Arabidopsis thaliana: one gene and its partner. The main gene of each other region encodes a partner of the protein of the gene in region 2 in a complex. Each region holds a gene or a part of one and is shown on either strand. Other genes may lie near its edges.

Region 1 (4,583 bases), on a different chromosome or scaffold from region 2:
ATCATTGCTATTGAATTTGTGATAGTACTTCTATCATATTAGTTTCACTTGTGACTATGATCTCAAGATCTTTCTTTCAGATGATCTGATTAAATCTAATGACTCAAAAAAAGCGACTATGATCTCAAGATCTTTCTTTCAGATGATCTGATTAAATCCAATGACTCAAAAAAAGCCGTCATGATTGTTCTGGTCCTTGTTGTTTCTTCTGCTGCAGATACTTTTTTTTTTCTTTCTGAATCCATTTTTTTCAGCTCACTTAGTTGTTTAAAACTGTCATGTAGAATCTGTCTTTTTTTTAAAAAAAAAAAAATTTAAACACGTTGTAAAATCTGTTTTTAGTTACCATGCTTGAGTTACTCTATTTGCAGAAACATACTAGAGAGAAGCTCAGTGACCGGGAACTCTTTGGTGTAGTCATGAAGAATCTATTCTATGGAAGAATAAGCTACTTACACTCGGACAAAGGAAAAGAGATGGCCCCAACCATGGGAACAAATGAAAGCACGCTACTTGTCCGTAAGCTACCAGTTGTTGATACAAGGTATGTTTCTTGGCATTAAGGGTTAGTCCTTTTAGTTCCACTTACATAAACAAGTTACCACTTGGTGTTCTATGAAATGTTGCTCCGTATGCTAGTTATCTAGTGGGGATATGGGATCATGTTTATCTTTCTGAAGTCATAAACGTTGGATTATTTGTGTTTCCTTTCTTGTGTAGGAGCTGTACTTAATTTCCATTAGCTAAAGTCATGGGCTTTTACATTATTTTTTATTTCTTATCTTGCATTTGGAAGTTGTAACTTGTATGTAGTGTAGGAGAAAGAGGAAATCGAGGATTAAAATGTTTGCAAAAAGTTATAACAATGCTTGTTGTTTTGCTTATGATAAAATGTGTAGTGGGTGTATATGTATATGTCTTCTTACTTTGACAGAATGAATTGGACAGAATTGAGTTGGTTGGAACAGACAAGTATATTTAACTCCGATGAGCTCATTGAAAATGTAAATTCTTGGTTTCAGCTTTTTAATGTATCCAATAATCAGTCTAAACCCTAGCTCGCAGCCTTTTCTAGGTTCAGTGTGTATATCATTAGTGATGCTCATCAGGATTTCTTGCTTTGTTATCTAGGTACATTTTCGTAGGGGATGCTGTTGTCTTGAAGGACCCGAATGAAACAAATAAGTATATAGTCAGAAGACTAGCAGCTTTAGAGGGATCTGAAATGGTATCAAGTGATGAGAAAGATGAGCCTTTTGTTCTCGAAAAGGATCAGTGCTGGGTCGTTGCTGAGAATCAAGAGATGAAATCTAAAGTACACCACTTACTTTCTCCCTTACATAATTACTTATCCATGTAGCGCTTACATAAGAGAAACTAAATCTATGTATACTTTGGTATGTATTAATAAGGAAGCATATGATAGTCGAACATTTGGTCCAATTTCAATGGCGGACATAGTGGGAAGAGCTATATATTGTCTGAGGACAGCAGTGGATCATGGTCCAGTAAGCAACAGGTAAGAGAAGATTTCTATTGTCCCCTATCAGCTTTATCTTTCTGTCATTCTTTTATTACTGAGGAAAAACAAATCCTGGAAAATGTTGCTTTTATCAGTGAATTTGCCATGGACGAGGATTCCCCAATCCTGGCGGTAGAACTTGACGTGGATGAATTGGCTAAAGGCCACAAGGCGTCATAATGAAGAACCTTTCTTGTACCACATTTTCATTCACTGTGTCGATGTTTCACTTATAAACTCCAATTTAGTTGTCATTGGAGGTGTTTGTGGCAAATGTTGGCCCGTTGGTACTTAAGCTTAATACGTCGGATGCTGTTGAGTGTTGACTTGAGGAAAAGGTTCTTCATGAGCTTCATCCTCTCTATAATAAACAACCATTTCTATAGAGAATCCACCCCATGGTTTTAAACCGAACCGGGGAAGACTGTACCGTTAATATTAATATGAAATTGATTTCTGAATTCGGTTTGGAAGAGTTGTAACCGAGATTAGACCGAATATAGATTATTGGTTTGCGTTAGGGCAATCGCTTCTGAAATGTCACGGTTTATTTTATGTTTTGTCGGCAATTTCACAAAGCCCATAAAGCCCAATATCAACATTTTTGTGTTACCAAGATAAGCCAGAGAAAACGCGAGAGTCGACAAGGAAAAGGCAATGCAAGAAGAAGCTTAAATCTCTCTTCTCTGCTCCTGAAGTCTGTTCATGGCGATGTCGGGAACTTTCCATTTGACTTCTGACTATGTCCCTGGTACTTCGCTATCCTGTACCCTTTTCATGTCTCTCTCTTTCTCGCTTGTCGATAATTTTTCTGTTTTATTTTGATAATTGTGAAGGCATCTATCTATGTGCGTCTCTATTTGTTTTCCGGGAATATTGTTACTGTTCTTCCTTGAATTCTCGCCGAGCACCTAGTGTTTTATGCCCCTGTCACTGTAGGCGGAAACGGCATGTGTGTGGAGAAATCATTTTGCTTTTGGTTTGTTGTCCACCAGTTGTTCGATGAAATGATTCTCTTGAGTTTTATAGACTTCTGCTTATTCGTGTGTGTAATGCAACTTGCTTCTGTACTGGCCTGCCTCTAGGGTTCTATGAATAACGAATGTTCTATCTTTCAATCTGCTTACTCTATGTTGTGTATTTGCTTGGTAATACAGGTTACACACTTTCAGACAGCCGTTGCTTCTTTAACTCTGCTGTTTCAAGAAGAACACTTGCCATATTACCTTGCTCTTCCTGTCTCGATCACAAGAATGGGCGTCTGAAATCTGTCCCCAATAGAAGTTCTTTTGTGTGCCGAGCAAGTTCTGGCGGCTATAGGAGAAATCCTGATTTCTCAAGACTTAATAAGCATGGTTACCGGGGAAACAACAGGCAAAGCGGAGGGAGAGAAGATTTTGATATCGAAAACTCTGATATGTTGTCTTCAAGAAATGGGCCTTTATTCAACCTGTCTAGTTCCCCCAAATTCCAAGCTACCTCATCCCCTGGACCTAGAGAGAAAGAGATCGTGGAGCTTTTCAGAAAGGTTCAAGCTCAGCTCCGAGCTCGTGCTGCAGCAAAGAAAGAAGAAAAAAAGATTGAAGAAGCTTCTAAAGGGCAGGGAAAAGAAAGTGAAACTGTTGACTCTCTTCTTAAGTTACTAAGGAAGCACTCGGGAGAGCAAAGCAAGAGGCAAGTTAGCAAATTTAGCAGCCAGGGAGAAGTACAAGGAGATACTGTTGACAAACAAGATCGCACCGGAAATCTTGTCACTTCAGGGAACAAAGATAATAATGCATCATCCTTTACCAGACCAACATCAAGCTTCAGAAGAAAGTCGCCAGTACCAAGATCTCAATCACCGCCAGCTTATTCTAGCGAGGCAACTTTTGATCAATCATCAAGTTACAGTGTAACCTGGACCCAGAAGAAGGATACAGTAGAGTTGCATGATGAGCCTGAACATGAGCCTGCGTATGAGCATGAGCATGAGCCTGAAAATGAGTCAGAACCTGGGCCTGTGACAACTATGCTTGAACCAGATTCAGAGCTGAAACCAGAGTCATCATCATTTTATCAAGAGGAGGAGGATGATGATGTTACTTTTGATGTGTTATCACAGGATGATGGTATTTTAGATGTGTTATCAGATGATGATGAGTCTCTCGATGATGCTGATGAAGATAGTGATGAAGCTGAGGAAGAAGCCGTGAAAGACTTGAGTGAATTGAAGCTGGTCGAACTTAGAGGCATAGCAAAGTCACGGGGACTAAAAGGGTTGTCAAAGATGAAGAAAGCCGAATTAGTGGAGTTGCTTGGTAGTGATTCCAGCTGAACCTTGCTCTAGTATGCACCAGTTAAAATGAGTTACTTTCTCTGTATTTTGTTTGTTTGGAAAATGCTGGCTTTGATGTTCTTGATTTACTAGGATTACCTTCTTCTCTTTTAAGTTATTATTATTACACTGATGTACCTTGTCAACTACAGTTTTCAGGACGCATTATTTACTGTTCAATCATATGGATTTTCAAAAATCTATTACCAACACAACAGGTTGATACTTGTTCGGACACTTAAAAGAGTCTATAATATAGGTCACTCAAATCTCTCAAGTAGCAGCTACAAATGCTCTGAGACTCTAAAGGTGTAGTGTTTGCATGTTGTTGAAGCTCATCAGGAATGGTATTAGAGTAGCTAAACCGCTTCTTTGGTTCGGAAACTTACTCCAAGGCTTTATCAAAAATGTAATTGGGTTCGGCTGGCTGATTGAATGTGGGTCCAGACCTAGCCAGGGTACTTGATAAAAATCATCACCACTCTCTGGTTTAGTTGTCACTTGTCAACCACGTTTTTTACATTTTGTGCTTCTCATTGGTTGAGGACCATTATTTGGCTTAGTTTAGTTTAGTTTAGTTTAGTTTAGTTGATGGTGATGAATTTATTATAACTTATATTGGATTCATCGCTGGATCATCGATAATACCAATGGTGCTTCTTAGGTAATGGTTTTTTTTTTTTTAAGATATATCGGTTTAAATTTATTAGCTAAGAACCAGTATCTGTAAAATCAAGATCGCGC
Region 2 (8,094 bases):
AGATTGAACCTTCATCTCGTGGAGGATTTTAGGGTCACTCCCATGAAGCTCGCGGCTGTCAAAGATACGTTGATAATGAGGAAGTTTGGATCTGTAGAACCAGACAATTATTGGTACAGGGTTTGTGAAGGAGATGCAGAATCTGTTGTTAAACGACCGTGGCATCTGTTATGGAAATCAAGAAGGTTGATGGAAATCGTCTCTGCTATTGCATCAAGGTTAAACTGGGACTACGATGCTGTACACATTGAGAGAGGAGAGAAAGCAAGAAACAAGGAGGTTTGGCCTAATCTTGAAGCGGATACTTCCCCGAGCGCTCTCTTGTCGACCTTGCAGGACAAAGTTGAAGAAGGAAGGCATCTCTACATCGCAACAAATGAAGGAGAATTATCCTTCTTCAACCCTTTGAAAGATAAGTACGCCACTCATTTCCTTTACGACTACAAAGATCTTTGGGATGAGAGCAGTGAGTGGTATTCAGAGACTACTAAGCTTAATGGAGGCAACCCGGTCGAATTTGATGGTTACATGAGAGCATCTGTTGACACAGAAGTATTCTTGAGAGGGAAGAAGCAGATTGAAACATTCAACGATCTTACAAACGATTGTAAAGATGGAGTTGGGACCTGCAATGCTGCAACTTCCTGATCTCTGTCATATTCCTCATTTATTTGTTGTTTGAATCGTCTTGTACCACTTGTTTCCAGTTTTGTATTGTAGAATAGCTTTGTATTTTCCATTACTGTTGTTTTGTCTCAGTGACTTTTAGACTAATATATGTCCTAGTTTGGTTCTATTTCTTTGGAATGCAAAATCTTGGGAAGAAGATGATATTGATACACAAAAATTGATTCGGTACAGTATTATTTGATACAACTAACAAAAGTGATGCCAAGAAAGAAAAATAGTCTCATCGCCTTTGTTTACCACTGGTCTTCTCCTTCTTAATTGGAATTAGAGTGAGCTTCTTCTTGCCGGAGGAGTCTGCTATGGCGTCAGCTTTCTTGAGCAGTGAAATGGCAACTTGATGCTGTCTTTCGTTTACTGTCTTCTCATCCATGAACGGTTTAACCTCAAAGGTTCCTCTGGTGAAATGTCTAGCAACCTACAAAAGACATTTATTATTCCTCGGTTGTGTCAGAAAAGCTAATATTCAGACACAGCCTCATCAATGCAAGCTTCTGGCTAAAGCGAATCACGACAGAGGAGTAAGAGTGTGCTGAAGGTACCTTTAAGAGAATCCATACTTTCAGGGAACTACTGAGGATTGCAAGCCGCGTCCTCTTCCCCGTAGTCAAGAAGCTTGACATATGACTGTCCACCCGCAATATGAATCTTGGCCACGATTTGGGGTTTTCCAGGTCTCCTCTTTTCTCCATCTTTGCCTGAAATTTTTAGGCAAAACATGGAACAAAAAATCATCGAAAAGGATGAAGAAAATTATGAAGAACAACAATAGTAGGCAACAACGACAATCATTTATTCAAGATGTTCTTCATTTGGTTGGAAAGAGAAGTAACAGAAAAGAATCGAGATTATAACACTCACAAGCTGCCGACAAATCTCTTGTTCAATTTTGGAAAAGGTAGTCTCCAGTGCCTCCACTCTACCAGTTGCGTGACAGCAAGAACATGGTTCACTGATCATAAATGTTACACTCGGCCGAACCTGTGAAAAAAATAGATTCACTACAATAAGTATAAATCGAGGGGGCGTGCTATGCCAAAAGAATTAATTAGAAGCTCTACAGAAAGAGATAAACATCCACAAGTTGGGACTATACCCTTTTTCTTGTTATCTCCATAAGTCCGTGTCTAGACAGCTCTGATACTTTTACCAGTGACCTATCTCTCTCCACGGCTTTCTTAACCTCTTCATAAACGAGTCTCTTATTTGCTGAAACCCAAAAATAAAAAACAAGAGTATACAGGACATCCATCATTCAAGAAAGGGATTTGCACATCGAGAATATTTGAATATGTGATTGGATGAATAAAAATGACATTCTAACTCACATTCATCTGCCATGTCGATGAAATCTACCACAATGATACCGCCAATATCTCTCAGCCGAATCTCCCTTGCAATCTGTTACATGATCGCATCGAGTATTACTTAATAAATGCTTTTCAAGATCAGCATATTGCAAAACTTGAGTAGACTTCAAGGAGAACTACACAAGACAAGCAGGCCTCAAACAGTTACTCTTTCTCCATGTTAAAAATTTCCTACGGCATTCACTAGTCATCAGATAATTCATACACCCATAAATATGCTCGAATCTGACCGCATTACGCTCTATAGAATAATTACTAGGGCCCTTTTCAGAGGCAGAATTTCTGCCGCAAAAGGTTGGCAAATGAATATGCAATCTAGTAGTCAAAATGTATCACATACTTGTCTGGCAGCAGCAAGATTAACTTCTAAAATAGCTTTCTCCTGTGAATTACCCTGACCAAACATTCCATGTCCTCCGTTCACATCAATAGAGACTAACGCCTCAGTTTGTTCAATCACCAAAGAACCTCCATTGGAAAGTGGAACTCTGCAAGAGGCAAAATACAATTTACATGAAGATATATGTTAAGGAAAAGGTGGGTTATAACTCCGGACAGTGCAGTGTTAGCCCCTTCTTACCTTTTACTAAGAATACCTTCGATTTCCTCCTCAATTTCATATAAATCAAAAAGAGGGATACCCTTATCATGCAATTCCACTCGATTACAAAGATCAGGTGCCATATCCTGCAGGTAGTGTGTGACCTGTAAACTAATACTAGTTAGTGAAATAATTTGGATATACAATCTGCTCTATTGAGTGGGCCATTCTAGATTACGGTAAAAGTTTAGTTATCTGCAAGTGCAACAGTTGGATAACTGGAGCTTTTACTTGAGCATTTGAAAATAACATTCAAGATATATGTAAATCAATAAATGTAGAGGGTAATAAAATCGATGTTTATGAAAGGGAAAGTCTCCTTCATTTCTTATTATGGAAAATAGAATTGAGCAAAATGGGGGCAATGTACCTCATGGTATGTCCTGGGAGAGTCAACCACCATCTTCTCAACCTGGAAAAAACCAAGATATTACTGTCACTTGAGAATTCAACACATAGAACCTAAAGGGGCCACTGGAGGAGAAATGTATGGAAAATGAGCTAACTACCTTGTCATTGAAATAGTCCTGCACAACTGATAGTGTTTGACCCATTGCTCTATGTAGCAGCGCTGGAATGGCTCCTTCCACACCTTCATCTGCAGCAAGGGCTGCAGATTTTGCTTCATCTGTAATGTTCTTCCAGGTTAAAAGCAGACCATCTAAGTCTTTCTGCAGTTCTTCTAGAGAATGGCCAGCAGCTACAGTCCTTACAGTCAGGCCAAAACCTTGAGGCTGCAATGTTTTTGCTATAACTTTTAACCGGGTTCTCTCAACTCCCGAAATTTTTTTCGAGACTCCAATTCGTTTGCAACGAGTCAATAGTACCTATAAGGATAAACTTTATTTCAGAAAATAGAATAATAAGAAACAAATGGAAAAGAGTAACGGGATAAAACATATCTCATACCCAGAATCTACTTCTCAGCTTCGGGTAAGCAGTAAGAGTTGGACCTTTCGTACCGAGGCCCTCTTTAACAACTTGCACAATAATTTTGGTTCCTTTCCGAACTTGAATCCACTTATTATCCTTAGACGACATCACCTTAGAAGCTTTTGCAACTGATGCGTTCGAATCAAGAGAATCTGCAGAGTGTCCTCTCTCCATAGGAATATGGCCATTCTCAGATCCAACTTCCACAGCGCCATGGTTAACTACAGTTCCATTAACTAGTCCAGCTAGATGATCTGAGACATGATATTCATCATTTTCATGCTCATCGTCATCATCATGAAAAGATTCCCCAGGGTCATTTGAATCAATGTCTAATAAACTACTGGCTTCAAAGTCATAGGAAGCATGTTCGATTTCATGGGGAGCTGGAATGTCATTCATAGAGAGGATCGGAGAACCATCAGCTGCTTGCTTCTTCGATCCATCACAAAATGGAGGGAATATGAATGGTTCCCTGTTTGACTTAATGTCCATGAAAGAATGTCTAGCACTTCCGATATTCACAAATGCACCACCCATATGGGGCACAAACTTAGTGATTACGCCCAGGTAAACACTATCACACTGCACATTGGTCTTAACTGGTTCCAACAATAACTCGACCAGCTTTCCACCTTCCAATACAGCAATCCTTTGCACCGTACATATAGAAGAATTGATCAGTATCGTAGTAGCAATGGATTCTGATTGGAAAAATCCACCATCTGGTAAGAGAGTCTCAGTCAGCTGGTGATTTTGTTCATCGGTATTTAAGTTATTTTCATTGTCATCACAGCTTTCAACATCTTGTTCGCTATCAGTCTGCATATTCCTTTCATGTTGTAAGGTAATAGATTCTTGAATCAACCACGGTTCCTCGATAGGCTGATAGTTGTCAGAAAATAACGCACTTAAGTTTGAGTTCTCTGACGAAAAGGCTGCAAGCTCATCACATAAGAAAGATTCAGCTCCTACTTGCTTATCATTCAGATGTGTTCTCGGGACTTCTATAGCACTATCGGCGGAAGTGCATTCATCTGCCAAACCACTGGAAGCATTTAAGTTTTAAAACATTTTGCAAAGGATGAAAAGAGACTGAACAAGGAGGAACCACCGAGATTTTACCTTCGCTTTGAGCTGGGGTAACACAGTTTGGAAAAAGGTAAGCATCATCAATCCAAGACCCCCATCCGTAGGATTCTTGTGATTTTGAGGAAATACTCATACTCATCCATGAATCCCTTATAATTATTTTTCTGTCTTGATTGACAGAGGAAGGAACTGATAACGAAAATTGTGGCCCTGGTCTCCAGATGACATCCGATGAAGATCCATATCCAGCTTTTAACAGATAATTATACCTGAAATTTACACCAGAAGCAATCTGCCAAGCATATTAAGTTAAAAGCAAACACGACATCTGAACTCACTTTCAAGAATTGAGGTTGGTTCCTTTTGTTACTACGACTAAACGTTCAAACGTTTTATGTAAATTAAGATACATCTCTACTTATGTTCGCTACGGCTTAAGTGAAACAAAAGAATAGATTACCTTGACTTTAGCTTCCCATTCATTATCATTTTCCGTAGGATACATTGAGATTGCGCAGTCTGGCTCCCAGCTACCTAATGTAGAAGGATCTCCAGTAACGTAGAGATGTTCATTGGCTGCCAGATCAGCTTCCACAATCCAAACGACCTCGCATAATCCTTTGAGACGACTAGGTGGCTGTTCTGAGAATACAGATAACAAAAATCTCAGTGGCTGAAAATGCAAACAAAGAAACTTCACAAGTTGAGGCATGACTCAACTGAAATTCCATGAAAAGACAAACTGAGAACACCACAGGAAAGTTAAACCATGATATTCTCTGAAAACTTTTAAGTTTTGTACTCCCAATTACCTTGTTGTGCACTTACAATAGCAGACCTTGGACGTAAACGAGAGACCCCAAAGCACAAGGTAAGCCTAAACGTCTTTCCACGCTCAACATGAGAGAACATATATCTGTTGAACAACAGAGATTCCAAGTTAGTCCAAAGTATCATTTCCTTTGGATTCATGCATATATTTTTCCCTGGTCTATAAAATGAGTTTCAGGGGAGAGCACTGTGAGATATGAACTCAAGAAACTGAGTACAAACAAATGTTTCAATCCCGTTCAGAACCTAAGAAACCCACTTCCACAATAGATTCAAAAATCGAAAGAAGATAAGAACAGGAATTAGAATCCCACAGACAAAGTGTATGATAAAATGCCTCAATGAAAGAACTTACGAAGAAAGCGGAAACCCAGAAGAAACGAGCCACGAGGCGCGTGAAGAAACGGAAAATTGAGGAAGACGACGCCATGGAACTTCAGTAACATCCATGGTATTGAGTTGCTATGAAGAAGTTCAGCAATACACGGAGCGGTGGGACGAAACGAGCGGAATTGAAAGCGACAGTTTTTGAGCTGGTGAAAAGAGATTCGAAGCGAATAGATGTGGCAAAAAGCAGCTCGGATTTCTGAAGAATGCTTAGGAATTGGTGAATTGGATTCCGGGAAGGTGGAGAAGATAGACGATAACGGAAGGATAATGGTGGCTTTGGCGCCTTGCACTGACACGTGCGGTAGATATTGTCTCACACGTGTGTAGTTTTCCAAAGCCCAACAACAACTCATAGTTAGATATGTGGTCTACTTTAGACCCATTAATTAAGGTCTAAGCCCAACGGGAGAATTTTGAAATGTTCAAAATGATGATATCAATTGTGATTGGTAAGAAGATTATGGCATTTTTAGGGGGTTATAGGCTCGACAGACTTAAACGCAGCGGATGAGAATGCGAATGTTGGAGTTTTAAAAAAACGGGTGAATACTAATAAAGGTTATTACGTGATTAGAACGACAAATTTCTGATTGGTAAAACATTTAAGTAGCCATGTATGGGAATGAAGAGAATATGTCACATGGTTCATTGCATAGTATGGGCCTCTGAAAGAAGAATAGCCATAATAACAGTGTAGTCCCTTTGTAATATGGAGTCTATCATTTGATTTTCTAACATCATCAAAGTTTGTTAGATACTAACCAGAATATAGTGTGTTTCTGACAGACTTTGTTTTTATATTGGTAATGTATTGACGAGTAGTTACCCGCTAGCCACATTGTTGGTACATATGCTTCTCTATTTCGATTGTTTTATATAGTTTTGGTAGAAGGAGCTTGGTTCTAACATATGCTCTTCAAGGTTGAAGATTTTTATTTCTTAAGAGCAAATATTTTGAAATTGTTACATTGTTGTGTTTGTATATGCTTTTTGTATTGAATTCAACGAGATATTTTGTTATGTTTTTTTAGTTTTGTTTCCAAATTTTACTCACTATGGCAGCTCAATGAATTCAGAGTCCATGTACAAATCTTAAACATTGGTCTTTTTCATACTAAAAGAAAAAATTGTGCCCTTTTTATGCTAATAAATCTTAAAACTCTTTTAAATTGGCCTTTCTTCATACTAAAAAAATATTTGGACCTATTTTCATGCTAAAAAATTCTTATAAATCTTTCAAAATGACACTTTTTCATACTAAAAAAATTGGACCTTTAAATTTACCCAAAATAATTTAGATCCAGAAATATTGCTCCCCTTTCACCCCCAATGAGCCGGCCCTAACTGTGGAAAGCTTCAATATATTCTATTTTCAGAATCTACAGCTTAATCATGCGTTATTTGTACAATCAAGACATGATATAGGTTTCAGAAACATGACTCACGCCCAATCATTTGTGGTCTAGTGGTAAGGGAAGCTTTAGTGAAGTGTAAAACACATTTACTTGCAAGTGCATAGAAACAATGTCTTGTTTCTATTTATTTGTTTAAATACATTGATTATATATATATATATATGATTTAGAGGATCTAGAAAGCACTTCTTCCCAAATAATTTTTCTCATTTGTTCTCTAGCATTTCTTTTATATAAATGACACAAAGCTCTTGTACTCTAAGTTTATACATCAATCTTGTTTTCATTTACTTGAAACTTTACTAAGAAGAATCAAGATATAATAGATGAATAATATTGTTATATACCTTTTAGTTGTCAGATTTTTGATCTTAATAATTGTCTTATTTTGATGTCTAGAACATCCCTTGAGACTTGGCTGAAAAACTTGATATAATCAGTGAACTAAAGCCAGATAGAACGATCACTTATCTTCATATTCGTCGAGCAACATTTGCAGTTTTGAGTAAAAATAAAATATATATTTCTTCTAAGAATATCATTTTAATCAAAATTGCAGAGTACTGTTGGACGGTCTCAGGTTCCGAGAATATTAGTGACGCACGTCACATCCACACCATCGATATGGAATACACACCATATTCTGGTCATTATCTGACATACTTTGCTGTTGTCACAATATCAAAAGATACACTCTATATTACAAAAGGATTACATTACTATTATGTTTATTCTTCTTTCGAAGGCCTACAATATATGCAATGAACTATGAGAC

The links.
Region 1: RNEE/G (region 2) and RHON1 share a complex: the UniProt entries of both Arabidopsis thaliana proteins name them as parts of the chloroplastic degradosome-like complex.

What each region holds. Positions count from the first base shown.
Region 1 is NC_003070.9:1,891,723-1,896,305, reverse strand, and holds RHON1 (Rho termination factor), read left to right. Parts: upstream 1-2,115; 5' UTR 2,116-2,227; coding exon of another isoform or gene 2,228-2,273; exon of another isoform or gene 2,274-2,358; 5' UTR 2,359-2,624; coding exon 2,625-3,839; 3' UTR 3,840-4,038; downstream 4,039-4,583. Other genes in the region: AT1G06200 (Peptidase S24/S26A/S26B/S26C family protein), read left to right, coding at 372-544, 1,132-1,315, 1,413-1,519, 1,618-1,702. UniProt on the Arabidopsis thaliana protein: Binds to and supports processing of specific plastid RNAs. Associates via its C-terminal Rho-N domain to single stranded regions of 16S and 23S rRNAs or to rbcL mRNAs. May be involved in targeting transcripts to RNases such as RNE or RNase J.
Region 2 is NC_003071.7:1,472,831-1,480,924, reverse strand, and holds RNEE/G (RNAse E/G-like protein), read right to left. Parts: upstream 6,155-8,094; 5' UTR 5,965-6,154; coding exon 5,870-5,964; intron 5,600-5,869; coding exon 5,512-5,599; coding exon of another isoform or gene 5,496-5,511; intron 5,357-5,495; coding exon 5,144-5,356; exon of another isoform or gene 4,976-5,143; coding exon 4,717-4,975; intron 4,640-4,716; exon of another isoform or gene 4,629-4,639; coding exon 3,568-4,628; intron 3,486-3,567; coding exon 3,168-3,485; intron 3,071-3,167; coding exon 3,029-3,070; intron 2,763-3,028; coding exon 2,638-2,762; intron 2,546-2,637; coding exon 2,398-2,545; intron 2,089-2,397; coding exon 2,016-2,088; intron 1,897-2,015; coding exon 1,784-1,896; intron 1,669-1,783; coding exon 1,549-1,668; coding exon of another isoform or gene 1,480-1,548; exon of another isoform or gene 1,386-1,479; coding exon 1,230-1,385; intron 1,106-1,229; coding exon 911-1,105; 3' UTR 715-910; downstream 1-714. Other genes in the region: AT2G04280 (calcium ion-binding protein), read left to right, coding at 1-648. UniProt on the Arabidopsis thaliana protein: Involved in intercistronic processing of primary transcripts from chloroplast operons. The endonucleolytic activity of the enzyme depends on the number of phosphates at the 5' end, is inhibited by structured RNA, and preferentially cleaves A/U-rich sequences.